Linked DNA regions of Callithrix jacchus. The protein of the gene in region 4 interacts with the protein of the main gene of each other region in a biochemical or structural test. Links are inferred from orthologs where the notes say so. Each region holds a gene or a part of one and is shown on either strand. Other genes may lie near its edges. The genes, in order: UBE2B, WAC, UBE2A, RNF20 and H2BC21.

Region 1 (6,270 bases), on a different chromosome or scaffold from region 4:
CCCAGGCTGGAGTGCAATGGCGTGATCTCGGCTCACTGCAACCTACTTGTCCTGGGTTCAAGGGATTCTCCTGCCTCAGCCTCCCAAGTAGCTGGAATTATAGGCATGTGCCACCACACCTGGTTAATTTTTGTATTTTTAGTAGAGACAGGGTTTCAGTATGTTGGTCAGTCTGGTCTTGAACTCTGACCTCAGGTGATCCACACGCCTCAGCCTCCCAAAGTGCTGGGATTTCAGGCGTGAGCCACCATGCCTGGCCACATATGTATATTCTTAAGAGAAAAAGTCATCTTTTTCATTTAACAGCAATAAGATGGAAAGCAATAGTCTTTAGTTATGATGCTAAACCCAAGTGTCCTGCTTTCCAACAGATGCATAACGTTTGTTCAAATAGGCTAAGCATAGCTGCTGTCACCAAAAAGCCAGATTCTCTTGTTCAGATCCTTGCCACCACATCCCAATTTCATACTTCCTAAGCAGCAGCACAAGGTTTAATTATTACTTGCAAGGCATATTCAGGATCTCAAAGTAGCCAGATAATACCCTGAATATAACAGAAGTGCTTTATGAGGGTGAACCTCACTCATTTTCCACTAGTCTTTAAATGTAGACTCTTGTAGCTGAACTGGAGTATCAGAATTCTGTTTATCAACATATTCCTTTTACTTTTTAATGCATATCTCGAGTTTCAAAGGAATGAAAGAAAAAACAGATCAAGTCTAGAAAAACCAAAGAAAAAGCATAAGGAAAATTTAAATTAAAAAGCATATATGCAACATATATAGTACGTAAAATTTACAACTCCTCAAATGGCTGCATTCTGCTACTTCACACCGGGCTGTGAATCCTTTTCACTTAAATACTTGCCACAGTAGAAGTTCTTAATATTTTTGGTTCCAAATCTTGTAATAGCTCCAACAGAATTAAAGCATTTGCATGGTATATTTTATACAAAATAATTTATATTTTCTCCTTTATTATTCCATTCCATATAGTTTTGAATAGTATTTTAAAGTAAAACCTGAAGTGATTATAAAACCCTATAATAAAAGAGCAAATAAATTGTATATAACTGCTGAAATTTTTTTCCTTTTTTTTTTGAAACATAAGGGTCTTGGTTCTGCTGCCCAGGCTGGAGTGCAGTGGCATAATCATGGCACTCAAATTCCTGGGCTCAAGTGATCCTCCTGCCTCAGCCTTCCAAGTAGCTGGGACCACAGGTGTGCACCACTATGCCCAGCTAGTTTTATACTTTTTGTAGAGATGAGGTCTCACTATGTTGCCCAGGCTGGGCCAAAACTCCTTTTTTTGGGGGGCAGGGAGAGAGAGACTCACTGTTTCATTATATTGCTCAGGCTGGTGATGAACTCCTGGGTTCAAGCGATCCTCCTAGGCATGAGCTAAAATTCTAATTAAAAAAATTTTTTTCTAATTTATCTTGTAGTTTTAGTCCTGAAGATCTCTCAATCCACCCCAGTTTCTTTTCCTAGGCAGTTGTTATATATTCACTTAAAGATTCAACACACACCTATTATAAACCTTTCAACTCACCCAAATATAACTGCATTCCACTGCATGATGTTGTTTTCAGATGGTGCACCACTGACACCCACAGGTGGGTCCTCTTGTAACCTAGAAATCCGGAGTGGTAATTTAAAAAGTTGAACATTAAGGCCACTAAGGAGGCCACATAAACACCTACAGACACTATACCATCTATTGTGACACAGGGACTAACTCCATTTCCTTGTTACTGTGAACTAAAATGAACCCTATGACTTAAATATATTAACCAGGTATATACACTTATTAAATACCTCTCCAAATTATCTAAAAATGTAAAAGGCTTGAGAATCATCCCTTTTTCAATATTATCAAGATTATTATCTCTTCAAGAATTGATGCATACAGACTGTCCTCTTAAACCAAAAAAAAGTTTAAAAACTCAAAAGCAAATAATATTTTTACAGAACCATCGATTTTGCTGCTCTAACCATCCAAAGACTGTGTGTCTTAACCACAGGTACTTCTGCAAAATGGCTAAAAAAAGAAAAGCAAACCTCAGTGTAAACACTAATGACTGAAAACACGTTAATTACAAAACTAGTATTAGGCAGATTTACTTTATCCCTTTTGCTTCAAACGGCAATGGCTTTAAAAAGTAATCAGTAGGTTTTCTGCCAGTCCCTATTTTAAGGCTCTGCACTAACACCAAATCTACCTCTCAGATCAGGAGACTCAATACAAGGCTTTCCAACATTCCTCAAATTCTTATAACCTGCAGACCTTTGGAAAACTTCAAAAGGTGTCATATACTCAACTCAGAATTAAGCAGAGCATTACAGTAAGGAGCCAGGGAGACAATGACGTGAACTAAATTGCTATTTGAATTTTAGTCACAAGTGCCAAGCAAATACACTAATTTCAAGCTTTAGAAAGATAACTTTTGCACAAAAAAGGGCATCTCCTTTCAGAGACTGTAGTGTCAATTAAAAATGCTACATTATACACACAAATACATATGCAGTCGTTTTCATGGGGCATCACACTTTGCAACTAGTCCACATTAAAAAAAAAAAAGGTTTTTAGTCAATTTCAAGCAAATTAGGCCGCCACGAACAGAAGCCTCACAAGAACTGCACTGCTTGACGCCTACCTTTAAATGGCTAAGAGAAGCTACCAATGAATTAAATAAGTTGGCCAAAGCCCAAAACAATGGATGGCTTCCAAATGCTTCACATAGGCTTTATAATGGCTGAGTTGAGAGGCGACTTCCTGAGCGACAAATCTAAGTTTTTAGGCCAGATATTTTGTCTCAATTAGGGCAGGTATCCCCAAAAAAAATTTTAAGAAAAACGTGCAGAGTTATCAAAATGCTGTTTTCTCACATGTTTTTCTATGTCTCTAAGTATCCAATTAAAGGCAAACGACGGACTAATCATTCTCTTTCTCACAACCCCAATACCTCCTAACAGTTAAAACCCTATTTATTTACCAAAGGAGGCCCAGGGAGTATCAAATTAGCGCCCGTCTAAGGGAAGGCATTTTTCCAGACTCGGGAGGCTATAGATAGGGCTTTCTTCACCAGCCAGAGCTGAGTTCCAGAAGGCACTGGCAGCCGGGGTGGCCAGCTCTGAGGTCCCAGATCTCTAAGTCGGTTCCCAAGGTCCTTTCAGGCGGGCGGGGACAGAGTCGGGTTTCGGGGGATGGGTTAAGCTCCGGGCCTCACGCACTGGACCCCACCCTCACGGTAGAAATGGAAAGGACCGGGGCGTGGTGCGGGGGGTTTCGCCCCAACCCGGCTCCTCGGAGAAGACGGCGGGGCAGTGAAACAAAGCTGACCGGTGCAGCCGGCGAGGAACAAACTCCCGCAGGAGCTTACTTTAAGAGGACAAGAAGGGGGCGCCGCAGGGTGCAGGGGCGGGTGGAGGAAATCTGATCGCCGGGCAGCTGGCCGAAAAGGGCAGCAGGGAACCCTAGGCCAGTCGATCGACACCGTTTTACTTTTTGGGGGTAGGAGGAGTATCGAAATTTATTCGGCCGCCAAAACGAGAGGCAAGGATAAGGTAGTGGAAGCCGAGGCTAGGACCCGGCTTCTGCCAGTTCTGCTGGGCCCACAGCCGGCCCTCGGAGGGTCACAAGGGGAAGGTGTCCGGGATCCCCACCCTGCAGCCCCGCAGCTTTGAGGGGCCGTCATCTAGGCGGACGTGAAGGCCCTTACCGCTTGAAATCCCGCATGAGCCTTCTCCGGGCCGGGGTCGACATGCTCCCCAGCTGCCCCGCGGTCAGTCTGAAAGAAAAGAGTCCCGCGCAGCCCCCCCACCCCCCGGCGCGGCGGCCAAATCACTGTGGGTAGCTGCCGCTGCTGCCGTCGCCGAGACTGACAAACAACCCTGCAATGACGTCTCCCTCCGCCGCCTCCGGATCCCTCCGCCCTCCGGATCCCTCCGCCCTCCGCCGCTACCACGGAAGAGCGTTGGGGGAGGAGGGGGCGGGACGCTGGAGCGCGCGTTCTCCGAGCCCTTCTGCGGGGCTGGGTTCAGCCTGGGCTTCCTGAAATGATCGGCAAGTTTGTGTACTCTGTGCTTACACTAGAGGTTGTGGATTCAGAGACCACGGAACCGAAACACTATCTGTCCCCCTCCCCGTCATTAGTTTAGACTCGGCGGGGTGGAGAGAGGGGGGACTCATCCGGGCCAGAGATTTCAGGGAAAGGAGGTGGGATGACGTAAGATCACGTGACTGACCGTGGCCTTGTCAACAATCCACCCCTGAGGGGGAGGGGGAGAAGTATCTAGAACCACGTGTCCCTATGACGCCTTTAGAATGGGTCACGTGAAAGCCTCGCCTCTATGTGAGTTTCAGCCAGCTCTATGAAGCTGGTTCAAGGGAGATTACACCTTTATTAGTTGTTTCCTGTTTATTACAGGTTAGAGACATCATTACCCAAGAGATCATGGCAGAATCAACAGCTTGTTTTGTTTTGTTTTGTTTTGTTTTTTTTTTTGAGGGTTTTAAAATTATTTATTTATTTTACATTTTGTAGAGGCAGGGTCTCTCAAAGTGCTGGGATTACAGGCATGAGTCACGTTTTGTTTTCTTTAAACCGGGACCAAAAATAATTCCCCTCTGGTTGGTTCAGTGGCTTATCAACTCTGCTATTGGGGCAAGAAGGGTATTGCACGATCTTCTAAGGCAGCATTGAATGTTGAGGCCCACACAACAATATCCTGCAATGCTTCCTTGAAGCTACCAAATAGTCTTTCAGCTTTGCAGTGGGGTTTCTAGTATTGAAAATTTTGGGCAAACATTAAAGGATGGTGTATTATGCAGTTTTTCCTTTCTGGGTCTGCTTTCATTTGAAGATATGTGTCAGAGTCCGGGACTTGCCTATAGGGGGTTGTACCATTGTATATTTTTAAGGAATGTGGGGTTGCAGACTTCCAGGCTTATCAATGAGTGGTTGGTTGTCAAAGAAACCTACAAATATGATTTATACCTGGGGGAGAGCTCCTGTAGATATGAGTGAGGGTTATAAATCTAGCCTGAAGGCCCGGTGCGATGGCTCACGCCTATAGTCCCAGCACTTTGGGAGGCTGAGGCGAGTGGATCACGAGGTCAAGAGATCGAGACCATCCTGGTCAACAAGGTGAAACACCGTCTCTACTAAAAATACAAAAATTAGCTGGGCATGGTGGCGTGCGCCTGTAGTCCCAGCTACTCGGGAGGCTGAGGCAGAATTGCTTGAACCCAGGAGGTGGAGGCTGCAGTGAGCCGAGACTGCGCCGTTGCACTCCAGCCTGGGTAACAAGAACAAAACTCTGTCTCAAAACAAAACAAAACAAAAAAATAAATCTAGCCTGAGATAACTTTAGGTTTTCTACACTAGCAAGTAAAGTGCAAATGGGCCAGAAGTGCCCCCCCATCACCAGGGGGGTTCAAAAGTGTTGATCTCCCACAGACCTTGAATATTTTCTGTAGTTACTGTCCTTCCCTCTATTGCTTCCAGTTCCTACCCTCAGGACTTTGTTATACTAAGGACTCTGAGTACTGAGGAATCCTTCAGCTCAACAGGGAAAGGGAAGGTGGAATGAAGACCTTAGCATTGCCTCAACCTTGCCCATAGTTCCATGGAAGCAGAGTTAACTTTTCCGACTTTCCTTGCATCTTCCTCTTTAAACCCTGAATTCTCTCTCTGCTTCCAGTGACTGCCTCGGTAATCGAGTTAGGCAGGCCTAACTCTTGATAGGTCCTGTTAAACATTTCACAATGTGTTTTCTAAGTCAAAAGCTGAATATTCTTAATTTTTTTGCCTTTCTGCCATTGCAGTCCTAACCCTTCCGATAACAAAAGAGAAAGATACACATGTAAGGTTACATGGAGAAAAATGGTCAAGAGAAACTGTATCTTAAAAATATTCGGCATGAGCTGAGACATAAGCTCATGCCTGTAATCCTAATACTTTGGGAGGCCATAAGTTTGAGACCAGCCTGTGCAAAACAGGAGATCCTGTCTCTGCAAAAAGTAAAATTAGCTAGGCGTGGTGACATACACCAGTAGTCCCAGCAACCTGGGAGGCTGAGGCAGAAGGATCGCTTGAGCCGAGGAAGTTGAAGCTGCAGTGAACCATCATCGTGCCACTGAGACCTTGACAAAAAAAAACAAAAACAAAAACAAAAACACCTTATAATTTACCAGTTAAGGCAGTCACTGAAAGCAGAAACAATTCAGGGTTTGCAGAAAGGGAGGTACAAGGAAAGTGGAAAAAGT
Region 2 (6,109 bases), on a different chromosome or scaffold from region 4:
TAATAATCAAATATACCTGCTACTACAGTTACAAACAAAAATGTTTGTATCTGCATATATAACACTAAGCTGTAACTAAATTCAACAGAGTATTTTCTCCTCATCCAAATTATTCAATCCCAGTGTAATCTCTTCTGACTAGTATTTCTCTCAAAGCAGTAATTATGTAAAGGAAGCCAATGTTTCTTGATATATGATCACACTGAATAAAGCTGATTTCTGTCAAGGAACCAGAAGATGCAAGGTATTTTTTAAAGTAAGCAAAGTATTGAGAAACTAGTTGCCAATAGGGGCAAAAAGCCACACAGTACTTTATTGAGTTTCTTTGGAAGCTTTAATATGGTAAATCTGCTTAACATATGTTATCTCCTTAAGCAATATGTTACAGTATGAGAAAATACAGACGTCTTTAATTACGTTATTGAAACTGGATGCTTCTGACTTGAAATGTAATTTGGGCAAATTAAGTCTGGAAGTAGTTACTGAGTTGGTTTTGTTTACTTATTCTCAGCCTCCTACCACAAAGAGCTTGACACAAACTTATAATTGAAGGTACAGCATTGTGCAAAAGAAATCACATTAACTTTCAAAAAGAATAGTTCAATGAATAAGGTATAAAAATCACATCACCAAAACTGGAGAATACTGAAAATAAAATGTTTACAACAAAAAGCAAGAATGTATTCTCTAAGTCACAAATAATTTTTTAAATCTGGGAACTATCCTGTAAAAGCATACTATCATTGTAATGAGAAGAGATCTGAACACCTTAAAAAGTAAACTGAAGCAACAATAAGGATCTCAAAATAAATTGAAATCTTTACTTAAAAAGGGGAAAGTTCCTTTATCGGAAAAAATGTCCTGCATTTTCCCCATCCTTAAGAAAGCATGTTTCAAACTATACTTATAAATTCATTTCCTTATTATCAGACACTAAAGTCCACTTTTTATTTTTTTGTTATGGAGTCTCGCTCTGTCGCCCAGGCTAGAGCACAGTGGAACCACCTCAGGCTCACTGCGCCCTCCACCTCCCAGGTTCAAGTGATTCTCTTACCTCAGCCTCCTGAGTAGCTGGGACTACAGGTGCCTGCCACCCCAAGCCTAGTTAACTTTTGTATTTTTAATAGAGACAAGTTTCACCTGTTGGCCAAGCTGGTCTCGAACTTCTGACCTCAAGTGATCTGCCCCCACCTCGGCCTCCCAAGTGCTGAGATTACAGGCATGAGCCACCATGCCTGGCCTTAGTTTCCACTTTTTAGATGCTCACATCAGCATCTTATGTCTACAGTAACTTGTTTAGAGTAAAGGGAAAGAAAAAAAAACTGATAGTAGTAAAATATTTTAATGACATAACCACACAGTAATTTCAAGCTTGAAATACTACTGCTGCGTGTTTTATATACAGCTACTATGAAACATATATGTCAAAGTTTCAACAAGAAAGCTACTCACCACCATCCCTCTCTCTAACTCTGTGAGTATGCACATTTTTGGCCTTACTGTGACCTGTGCTGTCACTGTATTTGTTTTCAGGACTATCAGATCTCCGCAACATTTTATTTGGTGGTGAAGGATCTGCGGCGTCTCGCATCTTTTCATGTCTGTGATCACCGCTACTGGGGTGACTCTTTGATGAATACTTAAGTGCCTGTAAAACATCACCCCCCCAAAAGAGAGAGAGAAAGAATTGAAACCTTAAACTTAACTCCAGAAACTAATTTAAACAAATTTTGGTGTATTAACGTCATCAAATTTTATGAACTTAAATTTCCACTTTGAATTCTGCTCTATTCTTCAAAGTTTCTCAGACAAAACCTAATGCTTAAGTGTTACAGTAACACTCCTGGTACAAATCATAATACTAAATGAAAAAAAAAAAAGAATCACTCCATTATCTTGTAACTAAATCAAACCACCTTGGCACACTGATTCTGAAAAAAAAAAAAATTCTGGGAATATTTAAAATCACTTTGAAAGTTTACTCAGAGGAAAACTAGAAATTCAGTACCACTGCAATCAATTTCTGCTATACAACTGATATGCACAAGCATATGAATAAGCACACGCGTATTTTTGCAAACCTACCAAAAAAAAAAAAACCCACACACCAGTTTCTCCAATTCTATGATTCAAATAAAGCATTTCAGACCTAACTTCCCTACTCTTACAGGTGTGGGAAACAATTTTAAGGTATAAAAATATTGACCAATACACTAAGGTGAATACTATTTCTAAACAAGCATAATGCACTCAAAATAATAGTTTAGCTTTATTCCAACATATCTTAAAACCACCATGATGTACTAGTCTGTTACAATGTGTAATTAGTTATGCTTTGGAGGACAGATTCAATAAGGTTTAATTTTTGACATATCCAATGTTTTACACATCAGAGAACAGTGTTTTCAAATTCCGCTGTATAACAACACAGGAATCAGGTTAGAAACCTGCTCTCTGATCTTTTAAAATCTAGAAAGGATTTCCGTAGTCATCTGATGATTACCAATCATTTATATTTCCCTTCTGAAAACTGGGGCCACTTCTATCATAATCCTTAGAACTTTACAAGCAGGGACTGCAGTAACAAAAAGGAACCCGCCTACCTAGAACCACCTACATCAGAATGAATTATCCAAGTACCAAAAGATCTCAATTCTTACAGAAACAAAAGCACACATCTTTTACTTGTACAGCAATTAAGTATACCAAAAATATTAAAAGGGGAAATAGCACTTTTTACCGACTTAAAAGTTGTAAGTCATTTAGCTATTTATCCCAGGTCCTTCACTTAATTTTAATGCCTTTACATTAACTTCCAGTTCCCCAACACAATAAATAAATAATTAAGCCTCGGAAGTCACCTATCATCTCATCCCTTCGATTCCTTCACCCGCAAATAATCGAGTCAGGTCTTCCTGGCTGCAAATGATTCTTTTTTTCCTAAATCAGCGAACTTCCTCCAGTCACCTGTCAAAATAAGTCACTAAACCTTGCTGGAGAGGGCCAAAAGCACCAAACCCCGAATTTTAAGGGGACCCGCGGTGCTGGTTTCCGATGTGTTACACCGAAGGGCCTGTAGCGACTTCTGAGGCCTGCGCTCGAGTAGCAGTCCCTCCCTTCCCCCTTCGGCCCCTTCCAAACCCTCCACCCGGCCTCGGCTAGTACCTGGTAAGGCTGCGAGTCCCCCCTCCGGTCGTGACAGCTGAAAAACAGGAAGAGAAAGCAAAGACATAAGACAAGGCGTGGGTGGGGGGCCAGGGAGGAAGAAAATGGGTCCCCAATCGCCCCTCCCCGCGGGAGACCTACCCAGCGCCCCGGCGCCGAGCCCAGCGCGCACAAGGCGCAAACCCCGAGCCTCCGGGAGGGCCGGGGAGGGCGAAACGCCGCGCAGCCGGGCCCCCGCTCCCCGCCACAGTCCGTCCCTGCCAGCCCGCCCGCGCGGCCGCTCCTCCTCCCCAATCCGATCCGGATCAGGGTTAACAACAAAAATGGCGGCCCGGCCAGCTCTAGATAAGAAGGAACAGCCCCCCCGCCGCCGCCGCCGCCGCCGCCGCCGCCCCCCGCCGCCGCCGCCCGGCCCGAAACGAAAAGACAATTTACCCATCACTGAGTCTCTGCTGTTTCCTCGCATACATTACCATCAATGCCCGGCCTGTGAGTGTGTGTCGGGGAGGGGGGAGAGCGGCCGCGAGAGGCGGGCGGGCGGGCGAGCAGGCGGCGGCGGGCGGCGGGCAGCCCCGGCACCTGGGCCCGGCGCGCCCTCGGCGACTCTCAGCACCTCCCAGTTACTGGCGCCGGCGCTCCCGGGCCATCTCCCTCCGTCGACACCACGCTCACTCTCAGCCGGGGAAGCGGCGCCAACTACACGGCGGCAGCGCGAACCGGGGGGAGGGGGGCAAGAAGATGCGTCCGGCTCAGCCCCGCGGAGAGCGACTGCCTCCTCCGCCTTCTCCTCCTCCTGCTCCGCCGCCTCCTCCCCTCCTCCCCCCGCCGCCGCCGCCGCTGCTGCCGCCGCCTGGTCCTTCTCCTCCTCCTCCTCCACCTCCTCCCGCCGCCGCTGGTGCCGCCGCCGCCGCTCCACCAACTACATCCGGGCAACTCGGACGCTGCCGCCTTCGGGAAACCTCGGCAGTTTCCGACGTGCCCCTCCTCTCCCACCCTCGGCCTTCCTCTCCTCCCCGCCCCGCGCGGGTCCGGAACGCCGCCCTCGGCAAACCTCGGTTGGCCCCGGCCTCTTTCCTCCTCTGAGGCCTGGCTCTCCTCCTCGCGACCTGTCAGCCCTTTACTTCTTTTCCTCACTCGCGAGTCCGGCCACCGCCGTTTCCGTTTAGGGATAGTCTCGCTCGGGCACCCGCTCGAGGCTGGTCCCAGAGGCTCCGGGCTGCGCGGGGAGGGAGCCGCCTTCCGGAAGAGGACGGTGGGGCGCGAGGGAAGCCATCGCGGACTTAATAAGGGAGGCTGCGGCGGCTGCGCGTGCGCTCAGAGGCGCCGCGGGAGGGGGTACCCTCGGGCGAGCTCTCCGGCCGCGGCCCCCGCCCCTATGGGCTCGGGCGGGGAGGTCGGAAACCCCCTGGCGAGACCAGGGGCGGACGCTTCCGATGAGCTGCCTGGTAGGCAGTCGCGAAAGCTACCCTCTGGGTAGCTGGGAGCGTACTCCAGCGCCTTCGGGCCGCTGCTGGAAGCCGGAACCGAGCCCGGGCCGCTGCCCCTCACCGGTCGCCGCGGGCGCCACGGGCCCTCCGTGGCGCAGGGGCTGCAGCAAGCTCGCCGGGCGTCCTTTAGACGTAAGTCTCACCCTGCGCCCCGGAGGGGGAAGGAGCACATGCTGGCCCGGGGAGAAACGGCCGAGAGGAGGAGCTGAGGGGTGCTGTGCCCGAGGCGGAAGGCGGTGCACCACGGCGGCCCTCAGCGGAGATGCCTGCACGGAGCGGGTAACACCATTCGGGGCAGGGAATGAAAGCGGTGCTTGATAGTGGAAATTTAGGGAGATGGGTCCCTTGGAAACAGCCCTGAACTGTCTCACTGCCCCACCTCCCCTCCCTTTTTTTGAGACAGGGTCTCGCTCTGTCGTCCAGGCTGAGTGCAGTGGCGCGATCACGGCTCACTGCGCCTCGACCTCAACGGATCCTTCCACCTCATCCTCCTGAGTAGCTGGGACCACAGGCATGTACCACCACGCCCGGCTAATTTTTTAAAGTTTTCCTGGAGATAGGTTCTCACTATGTTATTCAGGCTGGTCTTGAACCCCTGGCCTGAAGCGATCCTCCCGCCTCGGCCTCCCAAAGTGCTGGGATTACAGGCGTGAGCCACGGCGCCCGGCTTCTCACCCCTTTTTAACGTTTTGCATACCCAGCTGTGCCCCGCCCACCCTCTATTTATCTCTCACTTTTTCCCCCTTCTGATTCTTCGCTGAAGTCCGCGAAAGGAAATACATGTTGAGGTTCTGGATGTGAATAAAGGCTTGCGGTGTGTTAGGTGAAATTGCTACAAATGAGATTTTATGTACTGTTGCAGCCACATTGGGAGGAGAAACGTCAAGTATACCAACAACCATTAGTTGAGAGTGGTGGTATCCGGTGATTGGTTGATTTTTTTTTTTTTCTTAAACTGGAAGGAACAGTAGTTAAAAGAATTGTAGTCAGAGTAAATATGTGATTAATACAGAAGAGGCAAAATGGTAAACAAGTTAGAAGAAAAAAGACACCCACCCCCAAAAAACAACGAAAAGTAACTGATTTATTTGGTATCCAAGAAGTTACATTATTGCTAGACCTAATAGATGAAGAGAGGGAATGATGTTGGGAGAAAGGCCTTGAAATCACAAATGGGTAGAAAAAAAGTTTTAATTACGTAAGCTTATTTGTCACATCACCTGTCAAACATAAAACTTATTGCTGTTTGTGGGGATGGGAAGACCAATAAAAAGCCTATTTAATGCTCACTTAAACTATCAGTAACTTTAAAAAAAAATTCCCAGTGGCTGAAATTATCGAAAAAAAAATCGGTGCATCTTACGTGCAATTTCTGACACGTTTGTAGTGAATCCATTGAAGACAAATATCAGGAGTACAACAAATAACAAACGTTACATGGAAACTTGTTTGAAAAC
Region 3 (6,339 bases), on a different chromosome or scaffold from region 4:
CAGCACTTTGGGAGGCCAAGGCGGGCAGATCACCTAAGGTCAGGAGTTCGAGACCAACATGGCCAACATAGTGAAACCTTCTATTAAAAAGACAAAAATTAGTTGGGTGTGGTGTCGGATGCCTGTAATCTCAGCTACTTGGGAGGCTGAGGCAGGAGAATTGCTTGAGCCTAGGAGGCAGAGGTTGCAATGAGCCAAGATCGTGCGATTGCACTCCAGCCTGGGTGAGAAGAGCAAAACTCCATCTCAAAAAAAAAAAGGTTTAAAAAATAGTTTTGGGGAGCCACAGTGTTCCAAACACCTGAGGAAGCATCCATGGGTAGCAGACTGTTCAACAGAACAAATAAGCCAGCCTGAGTCAGTAATGCTGGGATGGAGATACACGTCATCAAAAATAGTCAGTAATGTCAAAGCCGACAGTCCTGGCAGATAATGGATTCAGTAAGTACCTCCTCAATTCATACCACTTAAGAGAAGCACCGTTGAAATACCTAGGTAGCCAACCGCCAACAAAGTGATGTACTATTAATAAAGCTGTGCCCAGTATAAAACAGAGTAAATGAGGAAAAAAGAAGCCAATGAAAACAAAGCTGAGGCCGGGAATGGTGGCTCACGCCTGTAATCCCAGCACTTTGGGAAGCCCAGGCAGGCAGACCATGAGGTCAGGAGTTCGAGACCAGCCTGAACGACATGGTAAAACCCCGTCTCTATTAAAAATACAAAAATTAGCCAGGTGTAGTGGCATGTGCCTGTAATCCCAGCTACTCAGGCTGAGGCAGGAGAATCGCTTCAACCCAGGAGGCAGAGGTTGCAGTGAGCTGAGATCGCACGCCTGCACTCTATCCTGGGTGATAGAAAAAGACCTGTCTCAAAAGAAAGAAAACAAGAAAACAAAGCCTTCTAGAGCTAAAGCAAATACACAGTTAATCTGTACATTTAAAGCTCAGGAATAAAGAACTAGTGCCAATCTGGTAGAGGAAAATTAGGTCTAGCTATAGTTTTCTTGCTACAGATCAGTTCAAATTATTAACTAAGCCAAAGTAGTATGCCCTTACAATCACTGTCTCCTGCTATCATTTCTTTTCATTGCATCCCTGACGAGCAAAGATATTTACCCAGCAGGTAAAGGCAGAGAGGAAGTTGAAAATATTCAGGTGATTGTCCACAGTTTCCTGGGGAAATCTAAGTATTTGAGATGAATTATAGACTTAGTTTATATTGACTTACCTCACAACATTTTGCAGACTGGTGGCATCAAAATGCAATCCGTCTCAGCAACATAAGTATGTATTAAGTAGTTTGCATAAATGTTTTTGTTCCCATCTTCAAACTGAAGCATGTGTGTGTGTGTGTGTGTAAATGCTATGTGATCGAAGGAAGATAAATCATTGAGGAAAAAACAGACCCTTTTCCTTTTTTTTAAACACCTCAAATATTAAAGAATTTCATGAGTTCCAATACTTTAATCATCATTTAAATGTATGAAACTTTGAAAAAATAACCACACACACACACACACACACCACACCATACACACACACCTGAGTATAGAACAATCAATGTCATTTTCCTGGTTGTGATAGGGTATAGTCATTCAAGATGTTACCAAACGAGAGGGTTTGGGGAGAGGACTGAGTTAAGTGTATAAAGGGTGTCTCTATTATTTCTTGCAACTGCACATGAATCTATAATTATCTAAACCCATAAGGTTTTTAAAAAGCAATTTACATATGTGTTTTTAAAAGACAAACCTAAATCAGTTACAAATTATGTAGCTACTGGTACATGCAGTATCTTCAAGTAGGCTGGACACTGATCAAAAGGGTACATTAAGGCGAACTTCAATTGTGAAGCTGCTTTGAAATTACTGACCATAATGTCTTGATGAAAACACACACTGTATATTCATTTAAAAATAAGAAAGAATGGCCAGGCGCAGTGGCGCACCTCTGTAATGCCAGCACTTTGGGAGGCCAAGGCGGGCAGATCACAAGGTCAGCATGACCAACATGGTGAAACCCTGTCTCTACTAAAAGTACAAAAATTAGCTGGGCGTGGTGGTGTGGGACTGTAATCCCAGCTACTCAGGAGCCTGAGGCAGGAGAATTGCTTTAACCCGGGAGGCGGAGGTTACAGTGAGCTGAGATCGTGCCATTGCACTCCAGCCTGGGCAACAGAGCAAGACTCTGTCTCAAAAAAAAAAAAAAAAAAGACAAATAAGAAAGAATACTATATTCAACTAAGGCATAAAGACCATCTTAGAGCAGTGAGGCTGATAGGCATTCAATGTCAGATTGTAGAAACCAGACAGTTGTATGTAAGGGATTCAACATCCAACACACACCTATCAAGCCCCTGCTAAACACAATTCCTGCCCATGGGGTAGAATTCTGAACCAGACAGTCTTTGGGGTCTCTGCTGACTGTCAGCAACTGGTTGGGTTTATACTAATTCAGCGATGTAGGGCTGAATTTAGCAGAATCACAGCCCAAGCTTCAAAAATCCTTAATACCAGTGCTATGATTGCTCCTTTTAAAAAGTGACTGCCTTACCCAGACTATTTTAAAAAGAAAGCAAGAAGAAAGGTGCAGTTCTAGTCAAGCATACAATATCCAGAACAGCCACACACTGCACTCCACTCAAGCCTTTAGCAGATAGAGGCTAGGCAGAGGCAGGTTCCTAAGTAGGAGACACTTCAGGATGACTGGGAACCCTTTCCCCAGGTGATCAGGCTCCTGAAAAGTGGGTAAAGAAAAACTCTCTTACCATCCTCAAATGGGGTCCCTTCAGGCCTGCAACACAGAGAAAAATGGTCAGTTCCCGCTTAAGGGGCCCCCTTCTCCCTGCTTCATGTGAGATGGCTATCCCAAGCCCTGCCATCTCCAGCACTGCTGCCTGGGTCGGAAGCCACTACAAATAGATGTCCTGGGTTCAGAGACACAGTGCAGGCCGCCGCGCCGTTATAACCGCCACCACTCCCCGCCCCGCCCCCCTAGAACCCCAAGCGATTCCCCCCTAGCAGCGGGAACTGAGCTAATCGAGGCACAGGCTCCGGGGAGGCGCCTAGGCCCAGCCAGACCCAAACATTCTCCCCGACCCCCTTGGCCTCCGCGGGGGGCCGGCCTCGGAGAGCAGTCCAAGGCGGCTCACGTCCCCAGGTCTCTCGCCACCGCCACGAACGCAGACTCACCCGAAAATAACCGCGTTCCACACCATTATGTTGTTCTCGGACGGAGCCCCGCTGACTCCGGCTGGAGGATCCTCCTGTAACCTTCCGGAACACAGACAAGGGTCCCCCTAGGCCGTCACTGGCGCCCGCTCCCGGCTGCTCCCCAGCCCTCCCCGCCCGGCGCGCCTCGGGACCCGCCCTGTGCCCCGGCTCGCAGCCCCCGGCCTCGGCCGTCCCCTCAGTTTACCTCTTGAAGTCCCGCATGAGGCGCCGGCGAGCCGGGGTGGACATATCGCGAACCGGGTCAGGGGTGGGGCATACACTAGGGTCTCGGGTTCCCGCGGCGGGCGAGGAGGCCGAGGAGGCAGAAGAAGCCGGAGAAGGGGAGGCGGAAGCACCCAAAGGTACCGCGCTACCTCTCCGAAGTCGAGGGTCGGTCTGGCGCCGGCTAAGCACCACCCCAGTGTAGACGGGGGATGAACCAACCTGAAAGCAGAGAGGGGGGGGGTGGAACGTCGAGCGCCGGACAGGCCGTACCAAGACGGGGCGGGGGGTGCTAGAGGAAAGTTGCTTATGTCATTAAAGCCCCGCGGGAGGCCCGGGGCGGGGCCGAGGGCAGAGGTGCTGGGTACGCGGGACCCCCGGGCGCTCGAGGACCTCGTGGTGGAACGGGGGTCCATTCCTACCTGCCAATTCTAAGGCAGCCCTTGGGAAGTTTTTGGCTTTTTAAATTTTTCTTTCTCTATTCTTTTTGTTGTTGTTGTTGTTGTTTTGTGACCAGATCATTCACGAAAATGCGCACCATACCCCGGGAGGAGGAGAGGAGAAGTTTGGAAGTCCCAAACCAGAGGACGGAGGAGTGGGCGGAGGCAAAACCGGTTCTCAAAAAGTGGCAACTCTAGGGCGCCCAAGCCCTGCGGACGTCGGAGACTGAGGGCAGAGGTGGGGAGGGGAGGTGATTGGTTAAAATCACGGAAAATCAAAAGAATAAATCGGCGTTGACTCTGTTGGGGGGGTGCTGTGGGACTAAATGCAGGCTTGGGCGCTCAACGCTTATGCCAATGATTACCCCAGAGGAGAATGAAATGGGAGCTTAAGGCAGGCACAGTAGGTTGTTTTCTGTTTTTTGGTTTTTTTTTTTTCCGCTTTGGGCACTCACAATTTGGCTCTGGAACCACATTTTTCCCTTGGTAGTTCAACAAGCCAAGCGGCTATTATATGTTCAGAAGAATCCAAGGTATGAGACTATCCGACTGCAGGGACAGTGGGTCTGAAGTCAAAGGAATGGTAAGATGCACTTAGAAGAGCTGCAGGTGGCAGGAAGAGTCGCAGTAGGTGGACCTGCAAAAGCAATAACAGTTTTAAAGGAGAATTTTTAAAGGTCAACTCAAAATAACTTAGAAGATAGGCATAATACACATTTAAAAATTATTGAAAATAGAAAGGTAGGCTTGGGTTAAACCGTCAAGAGTTTCGAATACCAACCTAATGGATTCCTTGGAAGTCCATTGAGCAGGGAAGTGACATCATTAGAGCTGTGCTTATCAGAAATTGATCTCAAGAGAGCAGGCAGGAGACTCTTGCAGTATTCTAGGTGTGAGATACTGAACCAGGCAGTGACAATAAAGGCGAGTAGGATATGAGTGAATGGGGAAGACCTGGCAACAGGTTGAATATGGAGGCGAGAGAGAGGAAGGAGTTAACAGTGGCTGAAACTCTAAACCCCAAGTTAACTGGGGATCTTAAGGTGCCATTAGCAGAATTACAGAATAGAGAGAGAGGGACAAGTTTGGGAGAGGAAATTTTGAGTGGGACTTACTGAGTTCATGGGACTGGTCAGACATCCCTGTGAAGATGTCCAGAAGATATCAGATGTGCAGGAGTTTGTTTCTAACATGAGAGGCAGGAGGCACTTGACAATGGTAGTGATTCTAGCTGCTGCTTAACAACAGGTACTTTCATGGTCAAGTATTTCTTATCTCCCATTAACTCCAACATATCAGTTAAGTCAAGTCGCCCTAATAGCATCACATTATGGCTGTAGTAGGAAGGGAGTACAAACATTTTTTTTAGAATCCTCTTCCTCTCATCTAGGAACTTGCAGTCTACTAACACACACATACACACATATGAAATGAACAAAAGCAAGATCTACAAAAGCAAATGCATTGGTATTCATCACTGCTTAACAAATTACAAGTTGTTGGCCAAGCCCAGTTCATTGCAATTGTGAGACTTTGGTCCCTATTTCCTTGCTAGCTGCCACCTGGGAACTACTCTTAGCTCCTAGAGACCACCTACATTCCTTGCCATATGGCCTACTCCATCTTCAAAGTCATCAACAGAGAATTTCTCTCCCACCGCATCCTTCTCCTTCTTTGAATCTTGTTTTCAGGAAAAGCCCAGTCTACTTTAAAGGCTTATCAGATCATGTCAGGCCCACCCTGTGGATAATCTCCCTATCTTAAAAACATCTAATTTGGAACCTTAATTACGTCTGTTAAATTTTGCCACTGCAGAATCTACATTAGTTTTTCATTTAATAACTGGGAGAGGCCAGGTGCAGTGGCTCACGCCTGTAATCCCAGCACTTTGAGAGGACAAGGCAGGTGGATCACCTGAGGTTGGGAGTTAAAGACCAGCCTAATTCAAGATGGATTAAAGGTTGTCATAAAAAATATATATAAAGACCACCCTGACCAACATGGAGAAACCCCATCTCTACTAAAAATACAAAATTAGCCGGGCGTGGTGGCACATGCCTGTAATCCCAGCTACTCTGGAGGCTGAGGCAGGAGAATCACTTGAATCCAGGAGGTGGAGGTTGCAGTGAGTGGAGATCATGCCACCACACTCCAGCCTGGGCAACAAAACGAGACAAAAGAGAAAGAAAATATCCTATGAAGAAGCGGCTTGTACGGGCATGGTGGCTCATGCCTGTAATTCCAGCACTTTGGGAGGCAGAGGCGGGTGGATTAGGAAGTCAGGAGTTTAAGACCAGCCTGGCCAACATGGTGAAACCTTGTATCTACTAAAAATACAAAAATTAGCTGGGCATAGTGGCGCGTGCCTGTAATCCCAGCTACTGGGGAGGCTGAGGCAGGAGAATTGCTTGAACCAAGACCCGGGAGGCGGAGGTCGCAGTGAGCTGAGATCGTGCCACTGCACTC
Region 4 (5,591 bases):
TTACACTGAAGACAGCCCCTAGACTTTAGTTTGTAGGGTAGCACTGACAAGGGAATAGACTATTTAGAGTGGGATATGTGTTGTTCATAGGGACAAGCACATACTTAGGGAAAGCACATAGCACACACCCGCGTTTGGACTTTATCCAGAAGGCAATGAGAAGCCATTGGATGGTCTTAAGTAGGGGGAGTAACATGCTCTCATTTATGTTTAGAGACTATAGAAGAGCAAGGGTTATAAAACAAGAGTCCAGTTAGCAGAGTTGTTTCTTCATTCCTTTTTATTCCCTTTTCCCTACAACTCCATCTCTCCAAATGTGGGGATCTGAGGCATGTATCCATTGATCCCTGCTCCAGTTGGTTGAAGGTTGCCTTTGAAAGCAGTGCCTCCTGTGCATTTTGAGATTGCTGTTATGTGCCAGCTGTGATTGTGGGTCAGGAAAACTGAGTCTCCCAAGGGTAATTCAAGTGGGAACACTAGCAGTGTAAATGGAGCTGTCCACCACAGCTATGCTGAAATGTGTCAGGCTGACAGGACTTAGCACAGAGTGTTTGCTGTAGGAGGCCTTTGCATTAATCTTAATGAGAGATCATGGTGGCTTGGACCACTGTGGAGGTGGCATTGATAAGATCTGCTGATGGATTGGATAACTCACATGAAAGACAGGAGGGAGGATCACCCCAGGATTTTGAAAGTATTGGAGTTTCTACTTAGCCAGAGAGGAGCAGATTTTTGGGAGTCATGGAGGATGAATTGAATTTGGTTTGGTTTGGGGCATACAAGTGTGAGATATCTATCTGATCCCTGAGTGGATAGGTAGTTAATAAATTGGATGCTGGACAGAGGTCTGGGCTAAAGCCATACATTTGGGAATCATCATTTTGTAAGTTGTGTTTAAATGTTTGAGACTACAGACTCTTTTAAGGAATAAGCATAAATAAAGAGGTCTGCTGGAGCACTGTAATATTTTCATGTCAAGGAGATGATAAAGGACTAATCAAAGATACAAACAATGCGGGACAATGAGGTAAGAGAGGCTGGGTTCCCAGGAGCCCACTGAAGAAAGTATTTCAAGGAGTTGATCAGGTGGTGCAGGTGTGTTCTCATTCAGGTTTCAGTTGGAACAGAGAGTAAAGAGAGGACTGAGATGTTGTATTTAATAATACAGAGTTCATTGGAGATACCACAACACCTACGTTTGTGGATTAGTGGGGATGGCAACCTGTTTTCAGTGAGCTTAAGAGAATATGAGAGGAGAGGAATTAGGGAAAAGAGAGTAGAGACAATACTTTAAAGGAGTGTTACTGTAAAGTAGATGAGTATATAGTGACTGATCATGGAATTTAAGTTCAGTACAGAAGGAAGTGAGAGAAGTGAAAGGTATAGGACCAGTGGATTGTAGATCCTGGAGAGACTGAAGGATTTTAGGAGTAAGGAAACTGGAGAGAGTGAACTGGAAAAATAGTGGTAGTTGTGAAGAATGACATGTTTGAAATTGAGCTTATAGAGGACATGTAGGTACAAGTAAGACTTAATGTGGGAGTTGGTGACTGAAGGAGGCAGAGGACAAGATCATTGGTGGAGAGGAGGTCAATGACTTGATGATCCAAGTATAGGAAAGATTATCTGAATGGGTGTTGAAGTTGTAAAGAATGATGACAGGAAAAGTATTGGAGAGTGATAATAAGCTAGGTGCTAAATCTTGAGAAATGTGAGGAAACGAGGTAGGCATTTATAGATGAATTCAACAGAGCATGGTGGCAGGTGGTATGGGCTAATGGCGTGAACTGCAGAGGCAGGTTTTAGGGAGGAAGGTGGGATAATCGCCTGGAAGTGGCAATGGAAAACAAGAAGATATTCATCTCTCCAGGGCTTCAAGGGGTGTAGAAGAGAAACAGCCACCACTGGAAGCCTGCAGGGAAACAGCATTCTCATCCAGGTTTCAGGTAGAGCAAGAAGGGAAAGGCAATGTTTAGAGAAGAGTTTGAAGATAGAGTTTATTAGTAGTGTTAATAAAGTGGTACAGTGGGGAAAACTGTTGACTACTTAGTTATATTAGGAATGTTTTAACTAAAGGGAAAAGAGAAAAATGAAACAAAAATTGGTGCTGTAATAAACAATTCTTACTTTAAAATACTGATTTTATTAATTCCTCAGGAAAGTAAGAATGTTTTTTCACATGCTGGTTCTTTGCTTGTTATATTCCCTCATCCCACCTCCCGCCGAAGCCTCCCTGGTTTGTCATAGGGAAGAAGCTGGAGAGAGAAAAATATTGAGAGGAATGTGAAATTACTAATGGAGTGAGGGTTTTGTAGAGACAGAAGAGAACAGGATTCTGAGCACAAGCCGAGTTTTAAGAATGTGTGCATAATTATGTGACTGGGTCAAAGAGATGGGGAATTGAGGCGTTTCCTCTCTGATGCCTTCTATTTTCTCATAAAAATAAGAAATAAAGCCATCTGTTTAGTATGATATAAAAGGGGGCAGGGTTTGGTAGAGGTTGATGCTGCCTTTATGGAGAATGGGAGAGAGCTCACTTGATAAAGAAACATTTCTGGACACATGATAAGATCTGTTTAGGTTCAGAATTCATTTTGTAAAGGCACTGGTTTCTGTAGTTTGATGAATTTCTCTAGAAGTCTCAGCATACTGGGTACAGGAATGAAATAGTCAGATATCTGGATTAATTCAGACTGGGGTTTGTTCACGAAGGTAGAATAAAAGGATTAAAGTCGGAGAACTGAGGGAGCTGTTAGGCAGGTGTTTGAAGGAATGTACTCTATAGCATATAATTAAAATGTGGAAGGTAGTGGAGATAGAAGGGGATCGAAAAGGAGAAAGAAAAGAACTTAACATTCTGGAGATCTAAATGAGGTAAAGGGATTGGTATATTGGGTTAAGGGCTTGAGATACCTGAAAGATGTGGTGTTATTCAGGGAATGGGAAGTTGGAATTTAAGATTTTAGATTTAGTACAGTTTAGTACAGTTCCAGATAATGACAGAAGTCCAAGATGTGGCTTTTGAAATGCATGGCTGAAGCACAGTGGAGGAGATAATCATTGGAGTGAAGGAATTGGAAATACTGACAGCCTAGGTGCTAGGGGTTTAGATGGTTTGTCCACAAGTATGTTGAAGTCACCAGATATATTGGCAGGAACTGGTATAGACAAGAACCCAGGTGCTGAAGTCTTTAGTGAATGAAGTGCAGTGCTTAGGAGATAGATGACAGTATTGATTGGAGTAGAGAGTGCTCTAGCTGGGTACTCTAGCCTTAAAGTAGCATTGCTTTGTAGATGTTGATGTGACTGGAACAGCGAGATGGGTGTGGTTGAGATTTTGGTTTATTTGTGTGTGTTATTCTTTCCTCACATCATCATATACCTGTTATCTCTTCTGCTTCTACCTCTTATTTAATTACTTGTAAGATTTTTAAAAAGTCAATAACTTCATTCATAGGAAATAACTAATGAATTATTGTGACCTTGTTAACAGCTCATTTTTCTAATTTCTTTGTGGAGACTAATAAGATTGGTTTACTGGGCAGGAGGAGCTAGATATTCGAACACTGCAAACCAAAAACCGCAAGCTGGCAGAAATGTTGGATCAGCGGCAGGCCATTGAAGATGAGCTTCGTGAGCACATTGAAAAACTGGAACGACGACAGGCCACTGATGATGCCTCTCTATTGATTGTCAACCGATACTGGAGTCAGGTAGCTAACTTGTTTATTTGCTCAGATTTTTATTTGACGAATTTAATTCTCCTTACTATTCATTTCCAAAGTTGGGTCCTTTGTTTCTTCATAATTGTACTTACCTCTTCTCCAGTTTGATGAAAACATCCGTATCATCCTTAAACGTTATGATCTGGAGCAGGGCTTGGGGGACCTACTCACAGAAAGAAAAGCCCTTGTTGTGCCTGAGCCAGAACCAGACTCTGATAGCAATCAGGAACGTAAAGATGACCGAGAGAGAGGCAAGTATTTGTGATGGATTCTATCACTGCATGCTATCTGGATATTTGAAGTATTGCTTTGCTTGCTTTTCATTTGAGGAAAAACAATGGATTTTGTTATATCCAGTTTTAATTTTTGGGGGGGCTTCTTTTTTTTCCCCTGTGTCCTCAGGGGAAGGGCAAGAGCCAGCTTTCTCTTTCCTTGCTACTTTGGCCAGCAGTTCTAGTGAAGAGATGGAGTCTCAGCTGCAGGAACGTGTGGAGTCTTCCCGCCGAGCCGTGTCCCAGATTGTGACTGTCTATGATAAATTGCAAGAAAAAGTGGAGCTCTTATCCCAGAAGCTAAACAGTGGAGGTGAGGCAAGAACCTGGAGGCTGGGAGTAGTGGAGGAGGAATAAGAACTCATTTTTGCATGCTAATTTGTAGTTTGCAAACTTACATATTTATTTTTTATTTATTTTTTAAGAGATAAGGTTTCACTCTGTCACCCAGGCTGGAGCACAGTGGCACCATCATAGTCCATTGCATCCTTGAACTCAAGCATTCTTTCTGCCTCAGCTTCCGAGTAGCTAGGACTATAGGCATGTACTACCACAGCTGGCTAATATTTTAATTTTCTTTTAGAGGGGAAGTCTTGCTATGTTGCTCAGGCTGTTCTCAAATTGGCCTTAAGAGACCCTCGCTCCTGGCCTCCCAAAATGTTGGGATTACAAGCATGAACCACTGTGCCTGGGCTACCTATTTATTTTTAATTATATTTCTTAAAATTCTAACCTTCAATATTACTGGTAGTGTCTTCACTATGGCATATTAATCTTTTATCAATGCTTTTCATTTTGAGCTACATGATAGTCCTTTAATAAATGGAGGAGCCAAGCGTGGTGGCTCACGTCTATAATCCCAGCACTTTGGGAGGCCAAGGCGGGTGGACCACCAGGTCAAGAGATCGAGACCATCCTGGTCTACATGGTTAAACCCTGCCTCTACTAAAAATACAAAAATTAGCTGGGCGTGGTGTCGCACACCTGTAGTCCCATCTACTGGGGAGGCTGAGGCAGGAGAATTGCTTGAACCCAGGAGGCGGAGGTTGCAGTGAGCCGAGATCGCACCATTGTACTCCAGCCTGGCTAACGAGCGAAACTTCGTCTCAAAAAAAATAAAAATAAAAAAAAAATAAACGGAGGAAAGATTTTATCAGCTCCATACTGGTACACTCTATTAATGACAGTTTTGTAAATAGCAGAATTAATTTTATTGAATAAACAGCTCTGATATCTGGATATTTTTATAGTGTATGTAGGCTATTGGTTTATAACGATAATATTTTAAATATTAACAATTATTTAATAATTTCTTATTGGATACTGCATTTTGACTTGAAAGAGTTCATTTTTACTTGACTTTTATTTTTCATTATCTCTAATGTTTTTAGAAACACTTGGTGCAGGTTTTAGAGTTGACAGATGATCTGTATGGTTAAAAGGATGATTAGAAAATATTCTATGGATAAAAGAATGTCTATTTGAAATAAAATAGTTATTTGGAGTAATTGTGTTATTCAGAGTTAATGCAAAAATTTATATTTGTACAGTAAAGTATTTGTGTAGCTAGGTTACATCTTTACTCATTTGTGAC
Region 5 (6,177 bases), on a different chromosome or scaffold from region 4:
AAAACCCCAGAGCTTTCAGGAAAGATTTCTAAGGCCGCTGAAGTCATACCATCAATTAGTGCCTGACGGCGAAGTTACGCTTTCCTGGCTGTTGCTGAAATCTAAGGGATGATGATGTGGACAAGGAAGCATGGAGAAAACGTCTGAAGGATGTTAAGGAAGCAACTGACTGCACATGCTGAGACGAAGGGAAGAGTCGTGTGGATGTAAGTATGTTGGTGCATTTCAGGAAAAGACGGCAAAGGGGAGGTTGTTTGCCTGCGTTCGCATTTGGATAGGCTGAGGTTGAGTTTGAGGTGCTCGTTGGGACAAGTAGGTTGACGTGTTCAGTAAGTAGTTAGGTATAAGGGGGTCTGAGCTTCTGAAACAAATTTGAATGTTAGTTGCAAGTATAGAAATGGGTAAGACTCTGGGATAAAATTGGAGATAGGGATGCCGAGTCCAGCTGGACTCGCAGATTTAGAGATGGGCAGTGGAATGGTTAGCAGGGTAAGAAAAGTCAGCGAGGTAAGAAAAACGGAGGGCGACATTTTGAAAGCCAAGGGAGCAAGTTTCAGGGCCGCCTCCTGGAGGTCAAGGGGAGGATGGCAAATCTATTGTAACTTCGGTCAAACCACCTTCCGAGGAGGGCAGGCGTGTGGGGGTGGAGCTGAGAAAGGCCGCTGCCGGCGGCTACACAGAAGGCCGAGAATGGAGGCAGCCTTAATAGTACCCGTGTTTTTAAAGAGAATTTGGCTGTGACGAGACAGAAAGGGCGGGACTTGGTACTTCATAGCTCGGGATATAATCAGCTTCAGAATCCTATTCTTGCGTGAGAGTAACTCTCCGTCCGTGGAAGTCTTCTGCAGACCCTTGGGGGGGTCCATCCTGGGATTTGCCGACTGTAAACGGGGGACAAACAAAACCAAACCCACAGTGCCACTCGGTAAAAAAGAACCAGCGTTCTATTTGAAAGCCTACTCTCTTTAAAGGTCCTGGCATGCAAATAAGGGGCTTTAATGTGGCTCTCAGTGATTGGTAGGTACTGACAAAATCCGTCATTTCCTTTCGGCGCAGGATGCAAACCGGGAGGCGGCTTTCTGCTTTCCTATTGGCTGTTGGATACGGCTCCGCTTTCAGCCAATCAAACGACTTCCCTTCACCCCTCCCGGTGGCTCTTATAAATTACATCAAATTGGTTATCCCTTCCACATTCTTCTCCTTGAAAAAGAAGCTGTGACTGCAATTTTAGCCGTAATGTCGGGACGCGGAAAGCAGGGGGGCAAGGCCCGCGCCAAGGCCAAGTCGCGCTCGTCCCGCGCTGGCCTCCAGTTCCCGGTGGGGCGAGTGCACCGCTTGCTGCGCAAAGGCAACTACGCGGAGCGGGTGGGGGCCGGCGCCCCAGTGTACCTGGCAGCGGTCCTCGAGTACCTGACCGCGGAAATTCTGGAGCTGGCGGGCAACGCGGCTCGGGACAACAAGAAGACGCGCATCATCCCTCGCCATCTGCAGCTAGCTGTGAGGAATGACGAAGAGCTCAACAAGTTACTGGGGGGTGTCACCATTGCCCAGGGCGGCGTCTTGCCCAATATCCAGGCTGTCCTGTTGCCCAAGAAAACGGAGAGTCACAAGCCTGGCAAGAGCAAGTAATAAATAGGCTTGACACCATACCCATTCACCCCAAAGGCTCTTTTAAGAGCCACCAAAGTGTCAAATGAAGGGCTGGTAACGAAACAGCGCATTAGCTCTTTTTTTGAAAACTTGGGTGGCTCTAAAAAGAGCCTTTGGTCTTTGGTTTGTCTGCATTTATTTGCTTTTGGCTTTGTGGCTTTCGGTTTTCTTTGGTAACAGAACGGCCTGGATGTTGGGCAACACGCCGCCCTGGGCGATGGTGACTTTGCCCAGCAGCTTGTTCAGCTCCTCGTCGTTGCGGATGGCCAGCTGGAGGTGACGGGGGATGATGCGCGTCTTCTTGTTGTCCCGAGCCGCGTTACCCGCCAGCTCCAGGATCTCGGCGGTCAGGTACTCCAGGACCGCCGCCATGTAGACGGGCGCGCCGGCCCCCACCCGCTCCGCGTAGTTGCCTTTGCGCAGCAGGCGGTGCACTCGCCCTACCGGGAACTGCAGGCCAGCGCGGGACGAGCGCGACTTGGCCTTGGCGCGGGCCTTGCCTCCTTGCTTGCCACGGCCAGACATGATTAAAACCAAGGCTAAACGCAGACAAAGCTCAGAACCACGCAACAAAATAAGATTGAAAGATCACCAAGAAGAAAGCCTTTATAAGCTTTCTTAGGGGTGGGGTCAAGGACGAGTTTTTCATTGGTCCTAATTTGGCTTCAGAGCCGGCCAATCAAGTCAAGAGTCGGTATCGCTACGTAGACGTTGCTGAAAACGCAAGGTCCACACACGGACCAATGGAAGTGAATTAGTTTCGGAGCCTTAATTTGCATAAGATGGTTATAAAAGGATCAGGTCCGCCCATTCTCTTACTTCTTTTCTTGGCTAAGTCGCGTTGGTACTGTGTCTTACCATGCCTGAACCGGCAAAATCCGCTCCTGCTCCTAAGAAGGGCTCTAAGAAAGCCGTCACTAAAGCCCAGAAGAAGGACGGCAAGAAGCGCAAGCGCAGCCGCAAGGAGAGCTACTCCATCTACGTGTACAAGGTGCTGAAACAGGTCCACCCCGACACCGGCATCTCGTCCAAGGCCATGGGTATCATGAACTCCTTCGTCAACGACATCTTCGAGCGCATTGCGGGGGAGGCGTCCCGCCTGGCTCACTACAACAAGCGCTCCACCATCACGTCCCGCGAGATCCAGACGGCCGTGCGCCTGCTGCTGCCCGGCGAGCTGGCCAAGCACGCCGTGTCCGAGGGCACCAAGGCGGTCACCAAGTACACCAGCTCCAAGTGAGTCCCTGCCGGGACCTGGCGCTCGCTCGCTCGCTCGAGTCGCCGGCTGCTTGAGTCCAAAGGCTCTTTTCAGAGCCACCCACCTAATCACTAGAAAAGAGCTTGTTCACTTACTCCCTTAGTTTTTTCTCACAAAGTAAGTTGTTTTAGCATAAGTCATGGGAAATAGCACACGTAGCTTAATCATTTGGAACTCGAGGTCCCCAGTGCATGATTGGATTTGCTTTTGAATCTAGAGCGTGTCGTTATTCATTGTGCTGCTTAGCTTTCCCAGGAGTCCGTTCTCATTTAGGGTGTTGGGAATCCGACTCTGCCCGCCCCCACCCCCGCCTTACACTGGCGCCCTGGTGGCTTCGTTGGGTCTGTTTCATCATTTCAAAACCAAGTGGCTGAGTCCGGCTGTTACTTAAGAGAACTCTGGGACACAATTCAGTCCGGGTGCCGCAAACTGCGTGACAGCGCTGTATGACTGACGCTTCGCAGCAGCTTTTGTGTCCGGTCACCAGTTTTGCCCTGGGATGGGGCCTCCTGTGGATGCCAGCCGTTCTGTGTACTTTGGACGAAGCCCGCGCAGCCGGGTCCCAGCCTTTTCCTGATTGGGCGACATGACTATTCGAAATTCTGCGCCGCTTTCTAATTTGTAGATTTCAGTTTCCGTGGTTCACTTTGAGATTCCTACTTCTCGGTTTGTGGATAATTTTTGCTTTTAATGGTGTCTGCTTTAAAATGGTAACGCTACGGCCCCGGGTCACTGCAAGACACCATGTAGATATGAGCTCAAAAGTCACCTCTCAGAGACCTTCTACGTCATCCACTCAGGAATTCGCGCCTCTCATAGTTCCCGGTCTCGTTTTATCTTCCTCGTAGCAGCTGTCTGAAATTGGCTCGTCTGTTTTCTTCATGGCATTCTCAAGCCCTTGACAGACCGGATGGTCTGGTTTTCCCGTGCCTCTTCAGCCAGTCAGTCTGGCACATTATGGACACTTACTTCAATACTACGGATTGAAGTAATATTGTTGGGTTAATTTTTCCATCCCACTTGTTTTTTAATCGCTTCTGTGGATGGATGATGGGTGCTGTTCATTTCCATTAGATGTACGTGAAGGCGCGGTGAAAATGGAAATGTTTTTGAAGTTATTCCCTCAAATGTATCCTTAGTCACTTCAGTGCAACAGCTGGGAGGGGGCCGTGTTAAGATTCTTTTGCATCAAAGAGGAGGTGGCAATGGTAGTTCCACCTTTGTGCTTCCCGGTTTAGCCTAACCTCCTTTGGATTTTCATCAAATTCAGCGTATTGGTCATGGGAAAGAGCCTTTTTCCTTCTTTTCTACTCCTGTCTTGGTGTTCCCTTCTTAAAGGAGAGGAGCTTTTAATTTGCACTCACCACCTGGTTTGGTTTTCAGGCGGCCATTCAAGATGGGCAGGACTACAAAGTTAATCTCTCTCTCTTTTTTTTTTTAAACAAATGAGGCCAAGAGAAGCCTGATTGGTCCATGGTCATGCAGTTCATACTGCCCACCTTTGTATTCTCAGATGCAGGACAATTGCATTTTAGTTTTATTTTGTGGAAGTGCAGAATATTTACTCTTTCTGTCAAACCCTTGATTCTGCCGAGGAACACACTGATGGTTTGATGAGTGATTCAACTCTACTTTTAGCTAAGGGCTTTGGGAGTTGATTGCAGGGGTTTGATGAATCCAAATGAGCTCTAGATATTATCACAGACTGAATAAATCTTAATTGTCTCCTACATGTGTGTTTTCAAATGTGTGTAGATGTTATTATTAATAAAGTTGCCAGTTAATTTAAAGTCTTTGCTGAATTATTTTATCTACAGTATATTTTCTCAATGAATGAGATTAACAGATACAACTTCCACTGGTTCTGTAGAAAAGCTTGGGAGCCTCTGAGCTGGGGGATGACTTGTTTATAAGCCACCAGCCAAACTGCTGCCCCAAAGGTGCATTGGGGCTTAAATAGTCTGTTAGAAGGTCACTGTTGGCTGGGTGCGGTGGCTCATGTCTATAACCCAGGACTTTGGGAGGCCAAGGCAGGCGTATCACAAGGTCAGGAGTTCGAGACCAGCCTAACATGATGAAAACCTGTCTCTATTAAAAAATTTTTTTAAAAAAAGGTCACTGTTAATGCTGAGTAATTGAAAAATATATGATCACAAATAGAAAGCAGTACAAATAAGATTGAAGAAATAAAGTTCATAATAAAGTTAAGCTAACACCTATGGAGCACTTACTATGTATCAGGCAGTGTTCTAGGTCCTTTATACATATTGACACATTTAATTCTCACCAGGGCCTCAGGAAGTAGTGCCATTATTATCACTCACTTTACAGATCAGGAAACTGAGGCACCGAGAAGCCTTTTTTCAGAAATTCTCCAGAGAATTAGCTCCTAGGTTAGCAGTTAAGGGAATTGAGAAATAGGGTCATTCTGAAAACCTGGACCCTATGCGTTAGAATTGAAAAGAAATATCACTGGCTTTATTCTCTTCAGAGTGCACCCTGGATATAAATCCTGGGTGGTGGTGGCTGAGCACCTTGAGAGTGGGATAATGTGGCTGTGATCCTCCATCCCAGAGGACATAGCTCAACTCAACTGAGTTTGTCCCCACAGTGGTGGGGCTCACCAGCTGGAATCCTTTGACTAACATGAGAGAGCCTTAGTTGCTGGTTTTGGGCTCCTCCTGGGCATGATACTCACTGGGAAGGAAGTTATAGAATGGGAAAGTGGGGAACAGGTGCTAGAGTTTGATATTTTAACTCTGGAGGGGAAGTAATTAGTGATGGTGAGATTAATCCTCAAGAACCTCTTCGATCATTTCTGCTGGGCATCTTTAAACATTTGCTTATGTTGGGGTTAATAACAATAATTGTTGTCGGGGTCCGGCACGTCTGCCGGGGGACTACCGACCTGCGGGAGTCCCCGAGACTGCCAACGTAGATGTCTCGTTCAACCTGAGAGAGAGAGTGCGCGGAAGAGAAAGAATAGAGAAAAGTGGAGTCTGGAGGGCTGCGTGAAGATTATGGTCAAAACGCAGCAAATTTATTCTTGTGGGTTACAGCTTTTGTACCTTTTTTCTTGTTTACATTTACTTTATCCCAGTAGAAAGAAAAAAGAAGGGGTAAACAGAAAGGAAATAGAAACTCCATAAAAAATAGTTATCAGGGGCTTGTGATATCCACACAGAAGGCAGTTTAAGGGGGCTAGTGGTAGTAGTTTACATTTCAAAGATTTTACATTTCAAAGATACAATGGCGCCCTTAAGGTGGCT

The links.
Region 1: the proteins of RNF20 (region 4) and UBE2B form a complex in vitro, tested with the Homo sapiens proteins (4 studies listed by BioGRID, with this or other methods). The link is inferred for Callithrix jacchus from reciprocal best matches to the Homo sapiens genes RNF20 and UBE2B.
Region 2: the proteins of RNF20 (region 4) and WAC form a complex in vitro, tested with the Homo sapiens proteins (2 studies listed by BioGRID). The link is inferred for Callithrix jacchus from reciprocal best matches to the Homo sapiens genes RNF20 and WAC.
Region 3: the proteins of RNF20 (region 4) and UBE2A form a complex in vitro, tested with the Homo sapiens proteins (4 studies listed by BioGRID, with this or other methods). The link is inferred for Callithrix jacchus from reciprocal best matches to the Homo sapiens genes RNF20 and UBE2A.
Region 5: of the proteins of RNF20 (region 4) and H2BC21, one has a biochemical effect on the other in vitro, tested with the Homo sapiens proteins (3 studies listed by BioGRID). The link is inferred for Callithrix jacchus from reciprocal best matches to the Homo sapiens genes RNF20 and H2BC21.

The regions. Positions count from the first base shown.
Region 1 is NC_133503.1:32,757,477-32,763,746, reverse strand, and holds the start of UBE2B (ubiquitin-conjugating enzyme E2 B), read right to left. Parts: upstream 3,886-6,270; 5' UTR 3,766-3,885; coding exon 3,722-3,765; intron 1,633-3,721; coding exon 1,552-1,632; intron 1-1,551. UniProt on the Homo sapiens protein: E2 ubiquitin-conjugating enzyme that accepts ubiquitin from the ubiquitin-activating enzyme E1 and transfers it to a E3 ubiquitin-protein ligase. In vitro catalyzes 'Lys-11'-, as well as 'Lys-48'- and 'Lys-63'-linked polyubiquitination.
Region 2 is NC_133508.1:28,789,362-28,795,470, reverse strand, and holds the start of WAC (WW domain-containing adapter protein with coiled-coil), read right to left. Parts: upstream 3,642-6,109; coding exon 3,601-3,641; coding exon of another isoform or gene 3,270-3,600; exon of another isoform or gene 3,203-3,269; coding exon 3,167-3,202; coding exon of another isoform or gene 3,166-3,166; exon of another isoform or gene 3,111-3,165; intron 1,668-3,110; coding exon 1,453-1,667; intron 1-1,452. Other genes in the region: uncharacterized protein LOC118143121, read left to right, coding at 3,270-4,331; uncharacterized protein LOC144576520, read left to right, coding at 4,599-4,931.
Region 3 is NC_133524.1:115,472,329-115,478,667, reverse strand, and holds the start of UBE2A (ubiquitin-conjugating enzyme E2 A), read right to left. Parts: upstream 3,637-6,339; 5' UTR 3,461-3,636; coding exon 3,417-3,460; intron 3,272-3,416; coding exon 3,191-3,271; intron 2,793-3,190; coding exon 2,767-2,792; intron 1-2,766. UniProt on the Homo sapiens protein: E2 ubiquitin-conjugating enzyme that accepts ubiquitin from the ubiquitin-activating enzyme E1 and transfers it to a E3 ubiquitin-protein ligase. In vitro catalyzes 'Lys-11', as well as 'Lys-48'-linked polyubiquitination.
Region 4 is NC_133502.1:149,777,930-149,783,520, forward strand, and holds part of RNF20 (E3 ubiquitin-protein ligase BRE1A), read left to right. Parts: intron 1-3,545; coding exon 3,546-3,713; intron 3,714-3,828; coding exon 3,829-3,976; intron 3,977-4,127; coding exon 4,128-4,310; intron 4,311-5,591. UniProt on the Homo sapiens protein: Component of the RNF20/40 E3 ubiquitin-protein ligase complex that mediates monoubiquitination of 'Lys-120' of histone H2B (H2BK120ub1).
Region 5 is NC_133519.1:9,819,331-9,825,507, reverse strand, and holds H2BC21 (histone H2B type 2-E), read left to right. Parts: upstream 1-2,467; 5' UTR 2,468-2,509; coding exon 2,510-2,890; 3' UTR 2,891-4,698; downstream 4,699-6,177. Other genes in the region: H2AC21 (histone H2A type 2-B), read left to right, coding at 1,237-1,629; H2AC20 (histone H2A type 2-C), read right to left, coding at 1,786-2,175. UniProt on the Homo sapiens protein: Core component of nucleosome. Nucleosomes wrap and compact DNA into chromatin, limiting DNA accessibility to the cellular machineries which require DNA as a template.